4 linked regions of the Caenorhabditis elegans genome follow. The protein of the gene in region 1 purifies or fractionates together with the protein of each later gene. This does not show direct contact. Each region holds a gene or a part of one and is shown in the gene's direction. Other genes may lie near its edges. The genes, in order: vit-4, T21C9.6, nduc-2 and W02D7.4.

What was found.
Region 2: the proteins of vit-4 (region 1) and T21C9.6 purify together in Caenorhabditis elegans (affinity purification with mass spectrometry, with the first as the bait; one large-scale study listed by BioGRID). This does not show direct contact.
Region 3: the proteins of vit-4 (region 1) and nduc-2 fractionate together in Caenorhabditis elegans (co-fractionation; one large-scale study listed by BioGRID). This does not show direct contact.
Region 4: the proteins of vit-4 (region 1) and W02D7.4 purify together in Caenorhabditis elegans (affinity purification with mass spectrometry, with the first as the bait; one large-scale study listed by BioGRID). This does not show direct contact.

Annotation. Positions count from the first base shown.
Region 1 is NC_003284.9:3,558,250-3,565,720, reverse strand, and holds vit-4 (Vitellogenin-4), read left to right. Parts: upstream 1-1,755; coding exon 1,756-2,619; intron 2,620-2,683; coding exon 2,684-2,968; intron 2,969-3,015; coding exon 3,016-6,053; intron 6,054-6,102; coding exon 6,103-6,331; intron 6,332-6,380; coding exon 6,381-6,516; intron 6,517-6,568; coding exon 6,569-6,828; 3' UTR 6,829-6,952; downstream 6,953-7,471. UniProt on the Caenorhabditis elegans protein: Precursor of the egg-yolk proteins that are sources of nutrients during embryonic development. Together with other vitellogenins, may play a role in modulating life-span, acting via induction of autophagy and lysosomal lipolysis.
Region 2 is NC_003283.11:10,580,170-10,587,623, forward strand, and holds T21C9.6 (Phosphoenolpyruvate synthase), read left to right. Parts: upstream 1-1,717; 5' UTR 1,718-1,722; coding exon 1,723-1,823; intron 1,824-2,367; coding exon 2,368-2,452; intron 2,453-2,497; coding exon 2,498-2,889; intron 2,890-2,931; coding exon 2,932-3,023; intron 3,024-3,068; coding exon 3,069-3,133; intron 3,134-3,214; coding exon 3,215-3,700; intron 3,701-3,746; coding exon 3,747-3,886; intron 3,887-3,936; coding exon 3,937-4,176; intron 4,177-4,223; coding exon 4,224-4,443; intron 4,444-4,523; coding exon 4,524-4,841; intron 4,842-4,891; coding exon 4,892-5,372; intron 5,373-5,684; coding exon 5,685-6,093; intron 6,094-6,143; coding exon 6,144-6,279; intron 6,280-6,322; coding exon 6,323-6,865; 3' UTR 6,866-6,908; downstream 6,909-7,454. Other genes in the region: lpd-9 (LiPid Depleted), read left to right, coding at 192-383; srg-32 (Serpentine receptor class gamma), read right to left, coding at 6,998-7,075, 7,119-7,247, 7,296-7,454.
Region 3 is NC_003281.10:2,785,343-2,788,569, forward strand, and holds nduc-2 (NADH dehydrogenase [ubiquinone] 1 subunit C2), read left to right. Parts: upstream 1-1,509; 5' UTR 1,510-1,519; coding exon 1,520-1,865; intron 1,866-2,547; coding exon 2,548-2,621; 3' UTR 2,622-2,686; downstream 2,687-3,227. Other genes in the region: Y71H2AM.20 (Serine/threonine-protein phosphatase 2A activator), read right to left, coding at 1-147, 193-282, 349-474, 525-602; cox-6B (Cytochrome oxidase c subunit VIb), read left to right, coding at 862-918, 966-1,085, 1,149-1,337; tbcc-1 (C-CAP/cofactor C-like domain-containing protein), read left to right, coding at 3,103-3,227.
Region 4 is NC_003283.11:8,296,010-8,299,258, reverse strand, and holds W02D7.4 (aralkylamine N-acetyltransferase), read left to right. Parts: upstream 1-1,654; 5' UTR 1,655-1,736; coding exon 1,737-1,859; intron 1,860-1,904; coding exon 1,905-2,109; intron 2,110-2,153; coding exon 2,154-2,226; intron 2,227-2,269; coding exon 2,270-2,357; intron 2,358-2,403; coding exon 2,404-2,481; intron 2,482-2,525; coding exon 2,526-2,657; 3' UTR 2,658-2,701; downstream 2,702-3,249. Other genes in the region: W02D7.5 (aralkylamine N-acetyltransferase), read left to right, coding at 26-148, 208-412, 461-533, 936-1,023, 1,111-1,188, 1,306-1,437.

The DNA of each region.
Region 1 (7,471 bases):
GCTTTTGTATCGGATTACGTTAATAAATAATTTAATATATACCAAAACTTCCGCAAAATTGACTTGTATGGCAAAATGGCTGCAATACAAATAGAGGATTCAAAACTAGTTTTCGTTTGACTGGTAGGGGTGCAGGACTATTGGAAGTTCTGAACCTTCGACAAAATTGACATTTTCTGAATAAATTGAACTTAAACGTATTTAAATAGCTGGAGAAACTTTGGAAAACAATGTATCTTTCATGGATTGAACGTGTATCATAGTTTTTAACAAAAACTGGTAACTTTTCCGAACTTATGGAACAATTGAAAATAAGTCTTGCATTCATAACTAATAGAGGAAATGGGGTATATATTTTTAAAAAACCCACTGATGAATTTTCCTGTAAATGAAGGTGAACATTTTTACTCTGTGGCGACAAATAGGTATTCTGTATGTAATTATAAATGACAAAATAAAACTTTTCCAACTTTTATGTCAATTCAGACGTTGCTATGTTTTGAGCTTGCACCAGAAAAAAATATTATGACATCATCGAAGAGTGCCTATTGATAAAATGATCCTCAAGCTAATGCTGGTGGAAAAACATGATTTTGATAGTGTAAAACAAAATTCAGAAGGCATTAGTTTCACAAATAGAGATCTGAGTACTTTTAAATGTTAGTATGAGCTAATTGTACCCTCTTTACAATTTGTAATTGTACCCTCTTCACATGAATTTTCTTGTATTGTCCCTATTCACTAATCTTAATTTTAGGTGATAATTATACACATTACATGTCAATTGATTATTATGTATATATTGCTTGTTGTTATGTTTTTGTTATTGTTTATTTAGATTCTGTGTGTTGTATTGGTATTTCATTTCTTACACAATTGACAAATCCTACAAAAATAAATAAATCAAAATGGGAAAACCAACTCTTCAGATGGAGTTCATCGCTACAGGAAAAAATATGATTTTATCATTATGGTTTTGTGGGCCATGAAAATGCTCAATATATGGTACAGCTGGAACAGTCAATTATTATAGACTGTTGGGAATGTGTGACTTTTTTTAAATGTAGATAAAGGGGTTTTAATCTCCAATACATGAAGCAACAAATATAACTTATGAAAAAACAACAAATTGACCTGAATTCTGTAAATGTTGAAAAAAGCCAATTTATGGTCCTAATTTATAAAAAAAATCGAGCCGCGAAGAATATTAATGTTTTTATTAGCAATAATAATGGCACAAACAAAGTACGACTACTCCAAATAATGTTGTATTCACTAAACGCCGAATTTTTATCAGTGAAATGTTCAAAAAATTGCGTGTTTATCCAAGAATGTTTCCCATCAAAATTGTTGGAGCGATTAAAGCTGCCCAATTTTAACAATGGTCCATAAAACTTCCGCTTGTGATTTCAAACCACGGGCGGTAAGCAAGCACAAAGACTGCATTGACAGAACTAATGTGTATTTTTTTGATGTTCCATATTAATGTTCTATAACCCACACTGTGGTACGTCTATCAATTAAATTCAGAAACCATCATTTAGGCGTCGATCTTCAGGGAAAACTGACATCTGCAACTTTGATAATATATTTTCAACATGTATCTTTCAATTTGCGCTGATAAGCATTAAATGGCACGATCACAATCTCTGGAAATCTGTCAATAATATTAAAACCTCCTTGCAATCGCCTGTCCTGTCAATTAAACACACTGGTATAAATAGAAACGCTGGAAAGGGAATAATCACTCTCGCAATGAAGTCAATAATCATTGCCTCTCTTGTCGCCTTGGCGATTGCCGCCTCTCCGGCTCTTGACCGTACTTTCTCCCCAAAGAGCGAATACGTCTACAAATTTGACGGACTTCTTCTCTCTGGACTCCCAACTACATTTTCCGATGCTTCCCAAACCCTGATTTCTTGCCGTACCCGTCTTCAAGCTGTTGATGATCGTTACATTCATCTTCAATTGATTGATATTCAGTACTCTGCTTCCCACATTCCACAATCTGAGCAATGGCCAAAAATCGAATCTTTGGAGCAACGTGAGCTTTCCGATGAGCTCAAAGAGCTTCTTGAGCTTCCATTCCGTGCTCAAATCAGAAATGGACTTGTTTCTGAGATCCAATTTTCTTCCGAAGATGCCGAGTGGTCCAAGAACGCCAAGAGATCGATTCTCAATCTTTTCTCTCTCCGCAAGTCTGCTCCAGTTGATGAGATGAGCCAAGATCAGAAAGATATGGAATCCGACAAAGATTCTCTTTTCTTCAATGTTCATGAAAAGACCATGGAAGGAGACTGCGAAGTCGCTTACACCATTGTTCAAGAGGGAGGGAAGACCATCTACACCAAATCTGTCAACTTCGACAAATGCATCACTCGCCCAGAGACTGCTTATGGTCTTCGTTTTGGATCTGAGTGCAAGGAATGCGAGAAGGAGGGACAATTTGTTCAGCCACAAACTGTCTACACCTACACCTTCAAGAACGAGAAATTGCAAGAATCTGAGGTTAATTCTATTTACACTTTGAATGTCAACGGACAAGAGGTTGTCAAGTCTGAGACTCGCGCCAAGGTCACTTTCGTCGAAGAAAGCAAGATCAATAGAGAGATCAAGAAGGTAATTTATTTAAAAATGTATTTTATGGGCTTTTGATAGCTAACTCTAACAGTAATACTTTCAGGTCTCTGGACCAAAGGAGGAAATCGTCTACTCCATGGAAAACGAGAAGCTTATTGAGCAATTCTACAAACAAGGAGACAAAGCTGAGGTCAACCCATTCAAGGCTATCGAGATAGAGCAAAAAGTTGAGCAACTTGAAGAGATCTTCCGTCAAATTCAAGAGCACGAGCAGAACACCCCAGAAACTGTCCACCTTATTGCCCGCGCCGTCCGCATGTTCCGCATGTGCACCATCGAAGAACTCAAGAAGGTTCACACCACCATCTACACTAAGGCCGAGAAGAAGGTAACCAATACACATTTCATAATCACTAATATCATGTTCTCTCTTAGGTTCAACTTGTCATTGAAACCACATTGGCTGTGGCTGGAACCAAGAACACCATTCAACACTTGATTCATCACTTCGAGAAGAAGAGCATCACACCATTGAGAGCTGCTGAGCTTCTTAAATCTGTCCAAGAAACTCTTTACCCAAGTGAGCACATTGCTGACCTTCTCATCCAACTTGCCCAATCGCCACTCTCTGAGAAGTACGAACCACTTCGTCAATCTGCCTGGCTCGCCGCAGGATCTGTTGTTCGTGGATTTGCTTCAAAGACCCAAGACCTTCCATTGATCCGCCCAGCATCTAGACAAACCAAGGAAAAGTACGTTCGCGTCTTCATGCAACACTTCCGTAACGCTGACTCCACATACGAGAAGGTTCTTGCTCTTAAGACCCTTGGAAACGCGGGAATCGACCTTTCCGTCTATGAGCTTGTTCAGCTTATCCAAGATCCACGTCAACCACTTTCCATCCGCACTGAGGCTGTAGATGCTCTTCGTCTTCTCAAGGACGTTATGCCACGCAAGATCCAGAAGGTTCTCCTTCCAGTCTACAAGAACCGTCAAAACAAGCCAGAGCTCCGTATGGCTGCTCTTTGGAGAATGATGCACACCATTCCAGAAGAACCAGTTCTTGCTCACATCGTTTCCCAAATGGAAAACGAATCCAACCAACACGTTGCTGCCTTCACCTACAACGTCCTCCGTCAATTCTCCAAGTCTACCAACCCATGCTACCAACAATTGGCTGTTCGTTGCTCCAAGGTTCTTCTCTTCACCCGTTATCAACCACAAGAACAGATGCTCTCCACCTACTCCCAACTTCCACTTTTCAACTCTGAGTGGCTCTCCGGAGTTCAATTCGACTTCGCCACCATTTTCGAGAAGAACGCTTTCTTGCCAAAGGAAGTTCAAGCATCATTCGAAACCGTCTTCGGAGGAAACTGGAACAAATACTTCGCTCAAGTTGGATTCTCTCAACAGAACTTTGAGCAAGTCATCCTCAAGACCCTCGAAAAACTTTCTCTTTACGGAAAGCAATCTGATGAACTCCGTTCCCGTCGTGTCCAATCTGGAATCCAGATGCTTCAAGAGATTGTCAAGAAGATGAACATCCGTCCACGTGTCCAACAAACCGATTCTCAAAATGCTCACGCTGTTTTCTACCTTCGCTACAAGGAGATGGACTACATCGTTCTTCCAATTGACATGGAAACTATTGACAATGTTGTTGAGAAGTATGTCAGAAACGGGGAGTTTGACATCAAATCCCTCCTCACTTTCTTGACCAACGACTCCAAGTTCGAGCTTCACCGTGCTCTCTTCTTCTACGAGGCTGAACGCAGAATTCCAACCACCATTGGAATGCCACTCACCATTTCTGGAAAGATGCCAACTATCCTCTCTATCAACGGAAAGGTTTCAATTGAGCTCGAGAAGCTTGGAGCTCGTCTTGTTCTTGATATCGTTCCAACTGTTGCCACCACCCACGTCACTGAGATGCGCTTCTGGTATCCAGTCATTGAACAAGGAGTCAAGTCACTTCAATCTGCTCGTCTCCACACTCCATTGAGATTCGAATCAACTGTTGAATTGAAGAAGAACACTCTCGAAATCACTCACAAGTTTGTTGTCCCAGAGAACAAGAAGACCACTGTTTCCGTTCATACCCGCCCAGTTGCTTTCATCCGTGTTCCAAAGAACCAAGACTCTGAATATGTTGAGGCTGAAGAGAAGACTATTTCCCACTCACAATACCAAATGTCTACTGAAGAGATTGATCGTCAATATGAGACCTTTGGACTCAGAATCAATGCCCAAGGAAATGTTCTTTCCCAATGGACTCTTCCAATGGTCTTGATGACTGAACAAGATTTCGAGTTCACTCTTGAGAACAAAAACCGTCCAGTTGAGTTCACAGCTCGCGTCACTATTGGAAACCTCGAGAAGACTGATCTTTCCGAGATCAAGTTCGACAAGATCTTCGAAAAAGAATTCGACCTTGAGAACAACGAATCTGAGAACCGCCGCCAATACTTCCACAAGATGATCCGTGAGATTCAATCCGAGCAAGGATTCAAGAATCTTATTACCCTCAAGCTTGAGGCTCCACAACAAATGTACTGGAACACTGAACTTCGTACCGTCTGTGACAAATGGATCCGTATGTGCAAGGTTGAGATGGATGCTCGTCGCTCTCCAATAGAGCACGAGAACAAGGAATGGACTCTTCGTACTGAGCTTCTTGCTGCCCGCCCACAAATGCCATCATCCCTCCGTCAACTTCGTGAGCAACCACACCGTGAGGTTCAACTTGCACTCAACGCCAAGTGGGGATCATCAAAGAAGAGCGAGATCACCTTCAATGCTCAACTCGAACAATCCACGGAACAAAAGAAGTTCCTCCGCAACATCGAGCGTGAGTACAAGGGAATTCCAGAGTACGAACTTTTGATCAAGGCTGCTCGTCTTAACCAAGTCAATGTTGTCTCTGAGTACAAGCTCACCCCAGAGTCTGAATACACTTTCTCCCGCATTTTCGACCTTATCAAGGCATACAACTTCTGGACTGTTTCTGAGAAGCGTGTCCAAAACGAGGATCGCCGCGTCGTTCTTCAACTTTCTGTTGAGCCACTTTCCCGCCAATACATGAACATGACCATCCAGACTCCAGAACAAGAAGTTGAGTTGAAGAATGTTCGTATTCCACGCGTCGTTCTCCCAACTATTGCTCGTCGTGCCATGTTCCAACAAACCTGGGAAAAGACCGGAGCCACCTGCAAGGTTGACCAATCTGAGGTTTCTACCTTTGACAACGTGATCTACCGTGCTCCACTCACCACCTGCTACTCTCTTGTTGCCAAGGATTGCTCCGAACAGCCAAGATTCGCTGTTCTTGCCAAGAAGATCAACAAGAACTCTGAGGAGCTTCTCGTTAAGGTTGTCCGCCGTGAGGAAGAAATTGTTGTGAAGAAGTCTGACGATAAGTTCCTTGTCAAGGTTGACGGAAAGAAGGTTAACCCAACTGAACTTGAACAATACAAGTAAGCTTTAACTCTAAATCACATGAATTTTTCTAATCTCGTTTTTCAGTATCGAAATTCTTGGAGATAACCTTATTGTTATTCGTCTTCCACATGGAGAGGTTCGTTTCGATGGATACACTGTCAAGACCAACATGCCATCCGTTGCTTCACAAAACCAACTTTGCGGACTTTGCGGAAACAATGACGGTGAGAGAGACAATGAGTTCATGACCGCTGACAACTACGAAACTGAGGATGTTGAGGAATTCCACCGCTCTTACCTTCTCAAGAACGAAGTAACTATATTGTTTCAAAAAACTGAATATATATTTATTTCGTTTTCAGGAATGCGAAGTTGAGAAAGACCGCATCTCCGAGAAGAAGAACTACAAAAACAAATGGAACAGAGAAGAGAAGAAGTCCGACTACGAGAGCAGCTCCGACTACGAGAGCAACTACGATGAAAAGGAAACTGAGAAGGGTTAGTTTAAAGCTGAATGATGTGTAGTTTTAACAAAATACATATTTTTCAGAACTCGTCAAGAAGACCCTCATCAAGGAGTTCTCCAACCGCGTCTGCTTCTCCATCGAGCCAGTCTCTGAGTGCCGCCGTGGACTCGAATCCGAGAAGACTTCCAACAAGAAGATCCGTTTCACTTGCATGCCACGCCACAGCAAGAACGCCCGCCGTTTCTTGAAGGAGGCCCGTGAGCAAACCGTCGCCGACTTGGTCGATTTCCCAGTCTCCTTTGTTGAGTCTGTCAAGATCCCAACCGCCTGCGTTGCCTATTAAATTCACATTTATCATGTTTTAGTCCATAATAAATTTTCACACTAGAATACTATTCATTACACATTCTTGTATTCTGAAAAACTACCATTTTTGACATTTCTGAATGTTCATAAAAAAATGTACACTAACCGCAACTTTATTTCAGTTCCAATTTTTCACGAATCAAAATTGGAAAACTGATGTATTTGTTTTGTGTGCTACAATTATTTCAAGTTATGCTGAGTTTTTCAAAAATTCGGGTTTTCAGCTCTAAATTGGACAAATATAAAATCTGACATAATTCAAACTGTTCTGCAAAGTTTCCATCGTTCTATAATTTTTCTATCAGATAGACTGAAATATCCATTTTCAGCTCTTTTGAATGCCTACCAAAGTTTTGTTGTAAGTAGCTTCAGCTTTTTCCCATAATGGAAAATATCACCTATGCCTAAAATTTAAATGACATTATATACGGAAAAAAGGATTTTTAATAGTAAATTTTCCAAGTTATCTAAATTTAATTAAACGTTTTCAGGGAAACCAAAACTTTTTTTCAAATGTCTTTCAGAAACTTTGTAGAAAATTTTCAGCTCTTTTGAATGCCTACCAAAGTTTTTCTGTAAGTAGCTTCCGTTTTTACCCATAACGGAAAATATCACCTCTC
Region 2 (7,454 bases), on another chromosome or scaffold:
ATGTTTTTAAAAAAATTTCAAAGTTCTTCACAAAATCATATATTTTGTTATGAAATGGCATAAGTACTACAAAAAAAATCAATTTTCTCATGCATAAGTAATTAAAAAAATTTTAAACAAGAAAACGTTCAATTTTTAAAAAGTGACAGCATAAAATAAAACGCAATGCGATTTGTATTGTTTTATTTCAGAACAAAGACCCCGACTTCTTCCGTCAATCTCCATATGGTCAATATTTGAAAATTGTGTGGCGATTGGCTCTTCTTTTCGGAATCATCAAAGCCGGAACTGTTGTCTACGATTTTGCCGTTCCAGAAGAGCAGCGACTCAAGTACAAGTACCGTAATCACGGACATCACGGTCACGACGATGCCCATGACTAAATTTCTGATTCACCACCGTCCGAACGTCTTCTTTTTGCATAGGAAGAAAGAGCCCATTTTAGTGTATTTGTAATCATTATCATTATCACAAAAAGATTTTTCTTGTAAAAAATGTCTTCCCATAAACATTCACAACATTGCAAAGAACATATCCAATATTCGAATTAGAAGACCACCCAGATGGAAATTAAATACGTCGGCTGGTTTTATTTGCGCCGTCAATTCAGTTATCGAAAAAATCATCATCGTCATAAACTTAGTTATTGATTATTTCCTGATAACTACTTATACGTTCAACCAAATCATTTCGTTATCAGCCACAGTTTATATGTGCCATAAGATTCTTCAGCACTCAACTTTTCCAGTTTCTTATTTTTTGAACTTACCAATGCTAGAAGTATAAACATAGAAATTCACATTCTTTCTAGTTAACTTCTCTGCAATGACTGGTCGTTTTTGGAAAACATGGTTTGTACTCAAACTATTCAATTTTTTTGCCGAATTCTTCTTCGAGCCCTTGCCATAGATTATTCATTGTGTGACATCTCTATTGTATTCTCTATTATTTAGTACTAACTTCTCTGGAATTCGACTTGCATGTCATACTATTAGAGTATATGGCCGTGATGATAGGCTTGTGATGATATACCTTGTGAGGGCTGTGAAAAACAACAAAAAATCGAATTTCTCCAGAAAACCAAAAAAAAAACACTCTATTTTTTTCGATTTTTCATCAATCCAACTAAAACATAACATCTTTGAAAAACAATTTTTCTGTTAATTTGGTCTGAAAAAAAAATCAAAAATCCATTTTTACGAAAAAACCAAAAAAGCAAAAAACCGACAGCTCTGCTATGATATACTCATCTATGATGTGATATAGATGAATGTCTAGCGATGATTTTTTATAGAAACAATATGCCCGATTATTGAGCCTTAAAAATTCACTAAAATTTCTCAATTAATCTTTGTTTGCCGAGTTTGACATATAAGTTGCTAGAAGCTATTGATCTTTTCCATTTTCCAACAACAAATATTTGACCTTCAATACAACAACACTAATTTATTAGCACAATCACTATCAAATCTGCACGTACTTTTGTATTTATTTAATGATTTAATCAAGAGTCTTTTATCAAACTACATAGATATTCTAAGTGTCACATGAAAATCAGTTGGCAAATATATACATTTTAAAACTATTTTATAAACCGTTTCAAGACAAGTACACTTGAAGCTATCTCTGATTACTAAAATACTATCAAGATCTATCTCTTCAGTTATTGATGTTCTTACATGTATTGCTATTGACATAAAATTCTACGTATTTACAGAACAAATGTTGATATTCCTGTTTTTGCTGTTTCTTTCAGCTCCACTATGCAAGTTTGTATTGTATCCAGTGATATACGCGTTCCTTAAATGGAGACATCCGGTCAAGTGAGTACTAATGTGATTATGGACCCAGTATGGGGCAATTGATCACTTTTTTGTTTACGACCCAAACTGGTTATCTATATTGAAATTCGAGTTTTTTGTCAATTGTGATTTGATACTATCAGTTGATTAACAAGTGAGCACACTTTTTTTTTTGAATGAATAGCAGAAACCATACTTTGATAAATTGACAAAAAGTTGAAACTTCTATCTAGATTTCTATGGAAAATATGAACGATGACTATCCGATTCGTTCACTCTTATAGTATTTAAAGAAAAGACATGTGCTTGAATAGATAAAAGATTGATTTAAAAAATTACTCAAACGTTTTTGCAATACTTTAAATACCACTCATTTTTTTTCGCTGATCGAAATTTGGAAATCGTACTTTTAAAACATTTTCAAAATAAAATCTTTAACTGTTCCCTTCTTGCATATTGATGGTATTCATGCATATTGTCTTTTTATAAGTTCTAGTGAATTACCGAGATTTTTTTGATTTTTTTTAAACTAAAAAAGGCTACAGTAGACTCAATACAATTTCAGAAAGTTCACTGCTCCAACTGCAAAGATTCGTGACATTATAAACCCTGATAAAGAGGAATGGGAACTGGAACATATTAAAAATGAAGTATGAATAATAAAAATAGACACGAAATTCGTCCTTTTTTTGCAGGAAATTCTAACAATTAGCGGTTCTGGAGAAGATAATAGTTTTGTGTATATTCAAGTTATAACAAAGAATGAAATTCATTTTGCTCATATTCGAGTTTTCGAAAAAGGAATTCTTTATTCCGGATCATACAAAGCAGTATTCTCCGATAATCGAACAATTTCATGTGGACCATTGCTAATTGAGCTTCGAAACCCATTCCGTAAATGGAGAATTAATTTCCGTGGATACCTGAATGATGCTAAAGGCAACTCTCATTTTGTTATACTTTCGGGATGGTGGAAATGTGTGTCGAATGCTAGATTTTTCTATTCAAATGCTCTTTTGAAGTCATTCAATGAAATTTACAATGACAAACCAACTGCACTGATTGAGAATTTGAAAACTATCGAAAAGTGACTGAATCATTTCTTACAAATACGTTATATCAACTTTAGGTACCGAAAAGGAAATGTGTTAAACCAAATGGGTGAATATCACGCAGAAATCAAAATTGGGAAAGATGAAGTTGTCGAACATAGATATAGAGGTTGAAAACACACGATACAAAAACCAAATTCCATCAAAGTTTCAGGACTTCGTCATAGAAATCCATTAGACTTGGAGACAAGTTCTACACATTTTCATACATACCTGAGCGTAAGGTTTATTTATCTTTTTTGTATTATAGAAAAGTAGAAATACTTTTTGGCTTATCCCGCTTAAGAAAGTAGTTTTCAGGATGCAAATGCAATTTCCTATCGTGTCAACTCTGTAGATGAAAAGAAATCAGTTAGTCACGGAGTGGGATTCCGTTCAGATCACAGTGCTCGTCCAATAATTATTGATAATTCTCATTCCCTTGAGTCAGATAATATGCTTCCAGTTCAATTCAAATATGTTTCACGTGGACTTCTCCCTCTTGAAATGAGAAAAGGACGAAAATTATGTCATTTCACGTTTATTCGAGAAGACAACAAGGTTGTCGACGTTACTGCGTTAGAAGTTAATTCTGCAATTTTTACGGGAGTTGGATTTGTGGTTAGAGTGAGAGAGGCAATTCATGAAGTTACAACTAAACTTCCCGATAGTTTCCCGGAATATCATGCAACTGAATCAGAAAAGATGAAATCAGTAGTCTCATTCAATCACAGAGCATGTCAGGATAAAATGTTAACTGGCGGAAAAGGTGCGAATTTAGCAAGACTTCAAGCAATCACCGATGATGTAAGTTCTGAAAGTAAGCATATACAATGTTGAAATAGATTTTCAGTTCCATGTGCCTCCTGGAATAGTTGTCACTACCGCAGCTTTCAACAAGCATGTAATTGCGAATCCAAATGTTTTAGAAGAAATAAAACTTCTCGATATCAACGATAAAAATGCCGAGTATTATGAGGATGTTGGTAAAAGGTAATAAAATAAGTTATCAATCCAATATTTAGAAACATGACATATTTTAGAATTGAAGGGCTTCTTTTCGAAAGTGAAGTGTCTCAAGAACTGCAAAAAGAAATTAAGGAGTGGTTACCGCGTTCTGAATACTATGCAGTAAGATCATCTGCAGTTGGAGAAGATGGAGCAGATCTTTCATCAGCTGGACAACTGGAAAGTTACTTGGATGTGATTGAAATTGATATAGTTGATAAACTGAAGCTGTGTTGGGGCTCTAATTTTAGAAGAGAAGTATTGAATTACAGAAAGTAGGTTTTAACAAGTTAAAATTTCAATCACAATGTGACGTTTACAGAAACTACGGTCAGCAGCTTAATCCGTCAATGGCTGTAGTTATTCAAGAAATGGATCGAAACGGAGTGGCTGGAGTTATGTTCACCGCAAATCCAGTAAAATTAGATCGTGGAGAAATTGTGATAAATGCATTGAAAGGAAGTGGGGAACAAATTGTGAGCGGTGTGACGACACCAGATGAGATTTACGTAAATCGAATCCATAAAACGGTGGTCATAAATGTAAGTTGGGTTTTCTTAAAAGGATTTTTGCTATATTTTACCTTTTTGTCAATAAAGAAGTACTACAAAAATATTTTCAGAAAGTTGGCGTCGATTGTTGCTTGGATGACTATCAGATTGAGAAACTTACCAAAGTTGGAGAGTACTTGGAGAGAATATTTGGAAAACCTCAAGATATTGAATTTGTTGTTAGAAATCAAATGGTTAATATTGTTCAAAGTCGAGATATTACTGGTTTGGATAAGGAGACTCAATTTGAAATGTGCACAGAATATAATTCGCCAAGTATTCATGACAAAGAAATTCTAACAAATGCAAATGTTGGAGAAGTTCTTCCAGTTCCGGTTAATGCCATGGAAGCTCATAATTTAACTGGAATGTTTGATAAAGTCATTGCAGTAAGAATAACAATATAATTAAAAAAATTAAATTATAAACAAAATTTCAGTCAATGACATTTCAAGAGCTCAATGATGTTGTGCCGGCACATACTTCAATCGGCTTTTCCGTTGCACACCGTAAAATATTTTTCAATTTGGGAGAAGTTGTTCTTCGAATTTGGGAACTGGTTGAAAAAGATCGAATTACTGATATAGTGATTGCTGGAGAAACTCTTTTCAATGCGGAAATGTTCCAACAAGCAGCTCATCAATACGGAAAAGTTTCACCTTTCTTTCCGTTGAAGAGAATGTTCAACATGATCAAGTTAATATATTTTACATCAAACAGTGTGAAGGCGAAAATTGTCAAAATCGACGAGGAAGCAAAGAAACTGGTGCCAAATGATAAAATGACGATTGAGATAGTATTCAAAAAATATGACGAGCTTGAGAAGTTGTGGTGTGATGCAAGCCATTGTCACACCAGTCTTTCAATGTTCTCTTCTTTCACATATGTGCTATGTGGAATGCTTATTCGTGGAAGTGACAGTTAGTTTTTGTGGAAAGTGTTGAAAGGCCTTCAAATGATATAGAGTTTAACTGGAATTCTTAAGGAAGGGTTAAGCTCTCCTTAAAATACTATTTTTGATAGGTTTTTAAGAGTTCACACAATTGATGATTACGCATTAATCATTTAAAATTGTGTTTGTTATTTAGCAGCATACTTGAAAATACCTATAAAATTATGATTTCTGTGTCAAATCTGTCCTCCTTTTGATTCTTGAAATTAAGTATTTCTAAGTTGTAATTATTCAAATTTTATAGAATCTGATATCAACTTCCATTCAAAATATTTTTCAGATGGACCTCTTTCCAATGACAATATATCCGATTTTGCCAATGTGTTCTCCAATAACTCTCGTGGAGATGTAATCAGTGCTGACGTTCCAAATTCTTTAAAGAAACTTGCAAAAACCATTCGAGAAGAGAGTATTGATAAAGAATTTTGTGCTGCAGAAGACGATGAGGCTTTGAAAACACTTGAAAACGGAAAGAAAAGCTCTGACGAATTGAGAAGATTTCTAGAATTGCATGGACATCGAGGGCCGAAAGAACTTTATTTAGATGCTACCACCTGGGAAGAGGACACCAATTTATTAGTTCATACAATTAAAAGTATGTTGGCTTGCCCAGAAACGTCTGGGAAGACTATTGAGAATGAAGATGATATTATTGATAACTTGAAATGCAAGCCGACTGGTATTAGAAGGTGGGAAACTTTTTGTAACCATTTGAAAAAAATGCATTTACACATTTCAGAAGACTTTTGAAATATTTCATCGGTCAGACACACCGTGGAGTTTCATTTAGAGAAACAGCAAAAAATCATTTAGTTTCCACGACACATTCTCTTCGAAAGGCATGCAGAATGGTTGGAAAGAAGTTGTATGAAAAAGTGAATTAATTTAAAATTTGCTGCAAGTAATTTTCAATTTTAGGGATATCTTCCTGATCCAAATCTTTGGATGCACTTCTCAATGGACGAACTTAAAGAATTGAATGCAACAAGAAGTGCAAAACTTGTTTCCAGAGCAATCAGAAGAAAACAGATTTCATCGAAGTTTGAAGGTCTCCAATTTCCACTTGTTTCTCATGGATACATGAATCCAATTAAAATAGAAATCGCTGAAACTGATGCAAATATTGGTATCATTCTTCGAGGAACTACAGTATGCGAAGGAAAAGTTAGAGCCAGAGCAAGAGTTGCCAAAACATTGGAAGAAGCAAAAGAGACAAAACCAGGAGAGATTCTCATTACAAAATACACGGATATCTGTTGGTCTCCATTTTTCCCAATTATCAGTGGAATTGTCACCGAGATTGGAGGACTACTCAGTCATGGGGCTGTTGTTGCAAGAGAGTATGGACTACCAAGTTTGATTGCAGTTTCCAATGCAACATATCACTTTAAAACTGGTGATCTTGTTGAACTGGACTCTATTTCTGGCACAATTAGCCGACTGGACACTAATCAGGAATAAATTTATGTAATCAATTTTTTTCAAATAAAACTGTTTTATGTGAGTGTTTATTCAAAATTTGATATTCTAGAACACAAATAAAAAAGATGCGTATGTTCACATTGGTCAGTAAATCAGTAAATAAAAAATATGTTAGTACACGGAACTTGTTACCATGACAGCTCTACTCCTGAGACTGGGAAAATGGTCTGTTGCCATTGACGTACGTACCTAGAAAAATAAGACATGTTTCACAGAATTATATATCATTTACCTTGGTACTAAAATACATAATAGTCCATGGATGATTGAAAGTGAGTATGTCACTAACAAAAGGCATCAATGCTTTTGCAGTTTGGGCTCCGACTGACATTCCTTCTGATGGTGCGGCGCGAAGAATCAACTAAAAGTATTGAAATATTGAATAACTGAGGAGGCAAAACCTAAATACCGTATCTCCGAGAGCTAATAGCTGAATAATGAACGAAACAAAGCTGACAGTAAACAGATTTCTCTCTGCACCACTGATCCTTGTTGGAAGAAGAGTCAGACGAATTATTGAGACAATGTTTGCAGTTGCGGTAAATAATGTAAAAACTATCATGAATGT
Region 3 (3,227 bases), on another chromosome or scaffold:
CAGCAAAATTAGGAAATTCGCCTCGTGTCCCGAGCCGTAATCGATTCGAGTGGCGTTTCCGAAGGATTCTGTGAAATATGGAACCAGTTCGACTAGAGCATCGTGGACGTTTTCCGGAAGAACGCTGGCTAGGAGATCTGGGGATTCCTGGAATTTTTAAAATCTTTTTAAATACATTTTTGAGCTAAAAACCTTGCAAAGCTTCTCATAAAACTTTCTGTAAGCTTTATTGCCAAATCTTTGCTCGGAAACATCTTCCAGAGGAATTTCCTCAGCCCATTTCTGAAAAAAATCCATTTTTTATTTTTTTAAATCTGGTTTTTCGTAATTTTCCGTAATTTCTCGAACCTCCAGCTTATCCAGCATGTCGATAAAGCTGATAACCAAGTCTGTGCATCTCATGTCTGCAGTTGTATGAACTCCAACTACAGAATCATTCAAACGATGCAAGAAAGCCAGGTACTCCTCGTAAGCCTGCAAATTTCCATTCATAATCCTTCAAATCGATAAAATTTCTGTTCTACCTTGGAAAAGTACCACGGATTCAGGTCGAACACATTTTTAATCATCTTTTCCGGCGGTTTATACGAGTTTTCAGCCATTTTTCTGGAAAAAAATCTATTTGTTTTGATTTCTAGAACTTTGTTATGTAAAAAAATAATGCAGCAAGTGCGCTCCAACGCAAAACCCCATTGTGGAGCGTTTTGTGCGTGAGAGGTGTATAGGAGTGTGTGGCTCGCGCAGCGTCTTTAGTGAAAAATTTTTATTGATTTTAAATATTGTTTAATTCGGTTTTCACGGATTTCTGAGCTTTGAAAATAACCGCCCGTGTTTAAATTTCAATTATATTCAATTTCAGTAATGCCTGTCGAAGTTGAGGTTCCCCCAACCACTTACGAGAGACTCCAGCAATACAAGGTGAATTTTTAGCGTTTTTCTTCATTTTTATCGATAAAAATTTACAGGAGAAGTTCTCCGATGCTCTCCGTCATCCAGACTCGCCAGACTGGTACAAGAAGGAGACCCACGAGTCTGTGAAGAAGGATCTTCTCTGGGCTGCTCCATACGACGCCAGATTCCCACAGGTTGGTAACTTTATTTAAAATTTATTATATATTAATTAATAATAAAAATGTACAAGTTTTCAGGTCCGTAAGCAACGTCAATGCTTCGCCTACTACGTCGATTTCCATCGTTGCAATGAGCTCATGGGACAGGACTACAAGCCGTGCAAGTTCTTCCAAAATGTCTACAAGGACTTCTGCCCCGGATTCTGGACCGAGAGATGGGACGAGCTTCTTTCCGAGGGACGTTTCCCAGCTAAATTCGATCGCTAAATGAGATTGTTCGATTGTATTCGAGAACAGGCGTTTTATTAGTGCTGATATTCGATAAAAAGTGTCACTTGTAAAATATTTTAAACACTTTTATTTCTTATGGCGTTATGAGACGCTTGAAATATCTCATTTTTTTTAAAAATCATATTTCCCCCAAATAAATAATTTTCTCAGTGGAAACCATGGCTGACTCAACTCGCGTCAGCGAGAAGGAAATCGAGCGCCGCGAGACCTTTATTCGCGCAGGACACAGAGCTCGTCACCTGGCCGATCCATTCACATGGAGCTACCCATTGAAGGGTGCCAGTGCAATGCTCGGAATCTCGCTGGCTTCGGTTTATTTGCAAAATCGATGGAACAAGAAGCCGTACTACTACGCAATTGTTCCACGGCTTTTGCTCATCGGAGCCGCCACCGCCGCCGGATACGCTGCCGGAGCACTTCGAGAGAGACACTATCAGACGAGAGACGCAGTCATCGAGCACTACATGAAGCTTCATCCAGAGGATTTCGACCATTTTAATGATCGTGAGTTTTGGAATTTGCTGAAAAATCGATTTTCAGATTTTACTGCAATTTCGAAAAAAAAACCCGGCTGAATTCGATCAAATTTGAAAGATTTCGGCTTTTTCCCCCCAGAGAATACCGTATTTTTCGCGATTTTCTGTGATAAATGCAGAAAATATATACATTTTCCCCGAAAAAAAAACGCTGAAAAGGAGAAGATTTGGCTAAAATGCTCGATTTCGGACCAATTTTTGCATTCAAACACCCAAATCAATGATTTTTATCTTAAAAATAGCAAAAATTGGCGTGAAAAACCGATTTTAGCCTAAAACACCATGGAAAACTACAAATTATCGGTTTTTTCGTATTTTTTAACAGTAAATTCGTCATTGTTCATGTAAAATACTATAAATCACCGATTTTTATGTTAAATTCAGAAAAAAAATAGTGAAAATGGCGCATTTCAGCTTAATCTTCTCCTCGAGGAGTACACGAGCTGCGTAAATCGACACATCACAGAAAACTTGAATTTTGGACTAGAATTCAGTTTTTTTTTCGCAATTCTAAGTAATTATTTTGGAAATTAGTGCGAAAAAAAGGGAATTCTGGCTAAAAAATTCAAAATTTCTGGGAAAACGGAAGATTTTCTAGTGAAAAATGCAAGAAAATCATCAAAAATTCATGGAATCTATTTATTTTTCAGGCAGTGGACGTTCATTCTCTCAAGTTCTTCTTCCATGGTATCCACGCAGAACCCAGTACACCAGATACGACTGAACAATTCTCTCGAAGTCTCTTTTTAGTTCATTATTGTAAATTAAATGAAGAATTATTGATTTTTTTCCCGGAAAATTCTCATTTTTTTCATTTTTCAGCATCCATCTGGTCTTTTGAGCCGTTTTGAATATAACTAATTAACCCAGAAGCAATTTTGGGGCAAAAATACTATACTATATCCTGGGTCTCGACGCGACAATTTGTGTTAAATGCGAAGAGGGATGCGCCTTTAAAAAGTACTGTAGTTTTAAACTTTTGTTCCGGTGGTTTTTATTGATTTTTTATAGTTTTTCTCACATTTTATGAGAATTTTTGCATATTTTTTTAACGAAACTAGAATAAAAACACATAAATTTCTATAAAATCTGAAAAAAAAACTATGAAAAATCGATCAAAAATTTAAAAAAAAACTCAAAATTGTCGTGGCGAGACCAGTTTTTTGCCACAAAAATCGCGCAAAAAAACGCCAGATTTCAGCATAATGGAAGCATCTTCGGAACAAATTTTATTGGATCGAAAAGATCGATTAATTGCAAAACTGGAACAAAGAAATGAAGAACGAAAAGTGCAAACTGAAGAATGTTTATCGAAATCTGAAGGAGCACA
Region 4 (3,249 bases), on another chromosome or scaffold:
TTTTTAGTTATTGGTTCAGATAAATATGCAGCTGTCCAAATTCTTCCAAAAACCACAGCTTCTGTTCCGAGTTGCTCAGCCGAAGGACAAGGAGAACATCCTGAAGTTCTTGGATGCTCATTTCGCGAAAGAGGAACCATGTGCTAGAGTTAGTTAATCGATTTTTATTTACCAGATTCAAAACACAGTAAATCTTTGTTTTTTCAGGCGCTCAAACTTTCCCCTGAAACATCTCGTGGAATCTTTACAACTACTGTAACTCGTTGCCTCAATTTCCCATTTTCTACCGTAGTTCTTCAAGAAAATGACGAGATTGCAGCGTGCCTTTTAGCTTCTGTATGGAATCGAACAGACCCAATTGATAGTGCAGATTTCAATAGTTCGGGAATGCCGGAAAATTTGAAACTTTTTGGTATCAGCTCTGTTTTAAAACACAAATTTGATTAATTAGTATTTTCAGTCCAATTCATCAACTCCGCCCACTCAAACTTTTGGAAAATTGCTCCGCCAAACGTTAATTCCATTATTCATAGGTACATATTACGAAAGCACTAAATTCTCAGGATTCGTATTGCGCAACATACTTGACGCGCAAGATATCTCGTAGCGAAAACTACAGTAACTCTTTAAATTGCTACTGTAGCGGTTTTCTCGACTTAAGGGCTTGGTCTTCAAAATTAATTAAAATCATTTATTTATCGATAGAACACTAAAATTAAGCAAAAAATGAGAAAATAACACGAAAAACGAATAAAAATGGAACTTCGCTGTAAATTTACAACAGCGCCACAGTAGACATTCTACGAGTTACTGTAGCTTTCACTACGAGATATTCTGCGCGTCAAATGTGTTGCGTAATACGCATTTTCAAAACGCGGTGTTTCCATAATACGATTGATGTTTCATTTGTTAATAAATATTTGTTTTTATTTCAGAGAAATCGGAAGTGTCGCCCCACAGTTCACAAGAAAAGGAATTGCAACAAGGATGGTAACTACAAATATGACTAAAACTAATTTGAAAGTAAGTTTTAAGAAAAGATGTGAAAATAAAAGTGTCAAACCGGAAAAAATTGTTGTATGCCGAATAAAATGAAATATAATATTTCAGAAATATAATATTGGTGGAGTTCTCTCGGAAACATCGTCTCTCGCAAATCAGATAGTTCTCCAAAAAGCTGGATTCAAGGTGATTTTATGAAGAAGAACAAAGAAATTAGGATTTCAAAATAGATTTTAACAAATTCTAAATTTTGAATATTGGAGCAAATATCTGTCATCAACCCAAAACTATTTGCATTTTCAGTGTCTCAAAGAGCTACCCTACTCTGCAATAGTTGATTCAAAAGGCAATCGTGTACTTCGACCGGATGATGGAACAACTTCTCTTTGTCTCAATTTCAAGCCAATTGAAGAATACGAAAACCTACCAGAATGAACAATAGATCTATTAAATTGTGATGTAATAATTATTAAAATTGAAATTGTATTTCATCCTCTCTAATTGTATTTAAAAATGTAAAAACTTAATTTTAACTGGAAAATAAACTTATCTTTATTTTGAACTGAAAACTCATCGGGTATCATGAAGAAATTCAAAAATATTAATTCTTGATTGACATTTAAAACTTGCGTGAACTGTCAAATAAAATGTCACTTTATGTTTCCAACACAACAAGCAATATTATCGATACCACTTCGTTCTTTTTGTTCTTTTGAACAACTCAATATAACAATATGATGTTATCCAAAGTTCTTCGAAATTCTCCACTTCTTTTCCGTGTCGCACAACCGAAGGATCATGAACGAATTATTAAGTTTCTGGATAAACATTTTGCAAAGGAGGAGCCATGTTCAAGAGTTTGTTCACAATTTTCTAGTTAATTATTCCGATCACTTGTTCAGGCGCTAAAAATCTCCCCAGAAATATCTCGTGGCGTTTTCACAGCTACCGTAACCCGCTGTCTCACTACACCTTTCTCAACAGTTGTCCTCCAAGAAAATGGTGATTTGGCTGCTTGTCTTTTGGCTTCTGTTTGGAATCGTACTGATCCACTTGAGAATGCTGATTTTGATGATACAGGTCTTCCGGAGAATTTCAAACTTTTTAGTGAGCCGTCGATCCAGATAATAAGTTTAATTTGTTGCTTTCAGTCCAATTTTTGAACAAGGCTCATTTGAACTTTTGGAAAATTGCTCCACCAAACGTCAATTCCATTATTCACAGGTATCCTCGGGACTTTTTTTAAAAATAAAATTGCTGTTTCCAGAGAAATTGGAAGCGTAGCTCCTCAGTTCACTCGACTTGGAATTGCTACCAAAATGGTTACTACTAACATGACAAAACGTAACTTGAAAGTATGTATGTTTCTTTAATGTTTGATAAATGGATTGATTAATTTAGAAATATAACATTGGTGGAGTTCTCTCGGAGACCACATCACTTGCCAATCAAATTGTTCTCGAAAAAGCTGGTTTTAAGGTAGGGAAAGTCACACTTTTCCAGAAATTAAAAGTAATTTATAGTGCCTCAAAGAGTTGCCATATTCGACAATTGTTGATTCAAAAGGAAATCAAGTTTTGAAGTTGGATGATGGTACAACTTCTCTTTGCCTGAACTTCAAACCAATTGAGGAGTACGAGAACTTGCCAGAATAAGAATTCAAATGAAAATAGACTTAATAAATGTTTAGGCACGTTTATTTTTTGGTGAAATACATAATACGATATTAAATGAGTGTCAATAGAATAGTAAGCTACATAACCGAATTTCCATCATATACTGAAATAAACACCTGCCAAAAATTAAATTGATTCTTATTTATCCTTCATAATGTTACTAGAAATCTTTTGTTCGAGCTCTGTGATATGATGTTTCCAAAAAACGAATTCCAGTATTCTTACAGTACTGCTCTTGGGGTAAACTCGTATAGTATTTAAGTGAGATATTTTTTAACTCCAAATACGAATATTTATTATTCACCATATATAAACATAACCATGTGTTACTAAACTTATAGTTGTTCTTTAAAAGTTCTTATTTACATTTCTGTATCCCAAAATAGGTCAAGATCTGGATCATCTCATAACTTGTTAGTACTACCACTTCACTCTCGATATGTACAATCTGTTCCCTTTCCTTTTCCGTAAATCCTGTCATCATATTTCCCGATTTTTTTTTCGAAAGTTTTCCTCATATTGCACACGCAACAGTGTCATCACATTCAGCACACCGTCAACAATAGAGGGA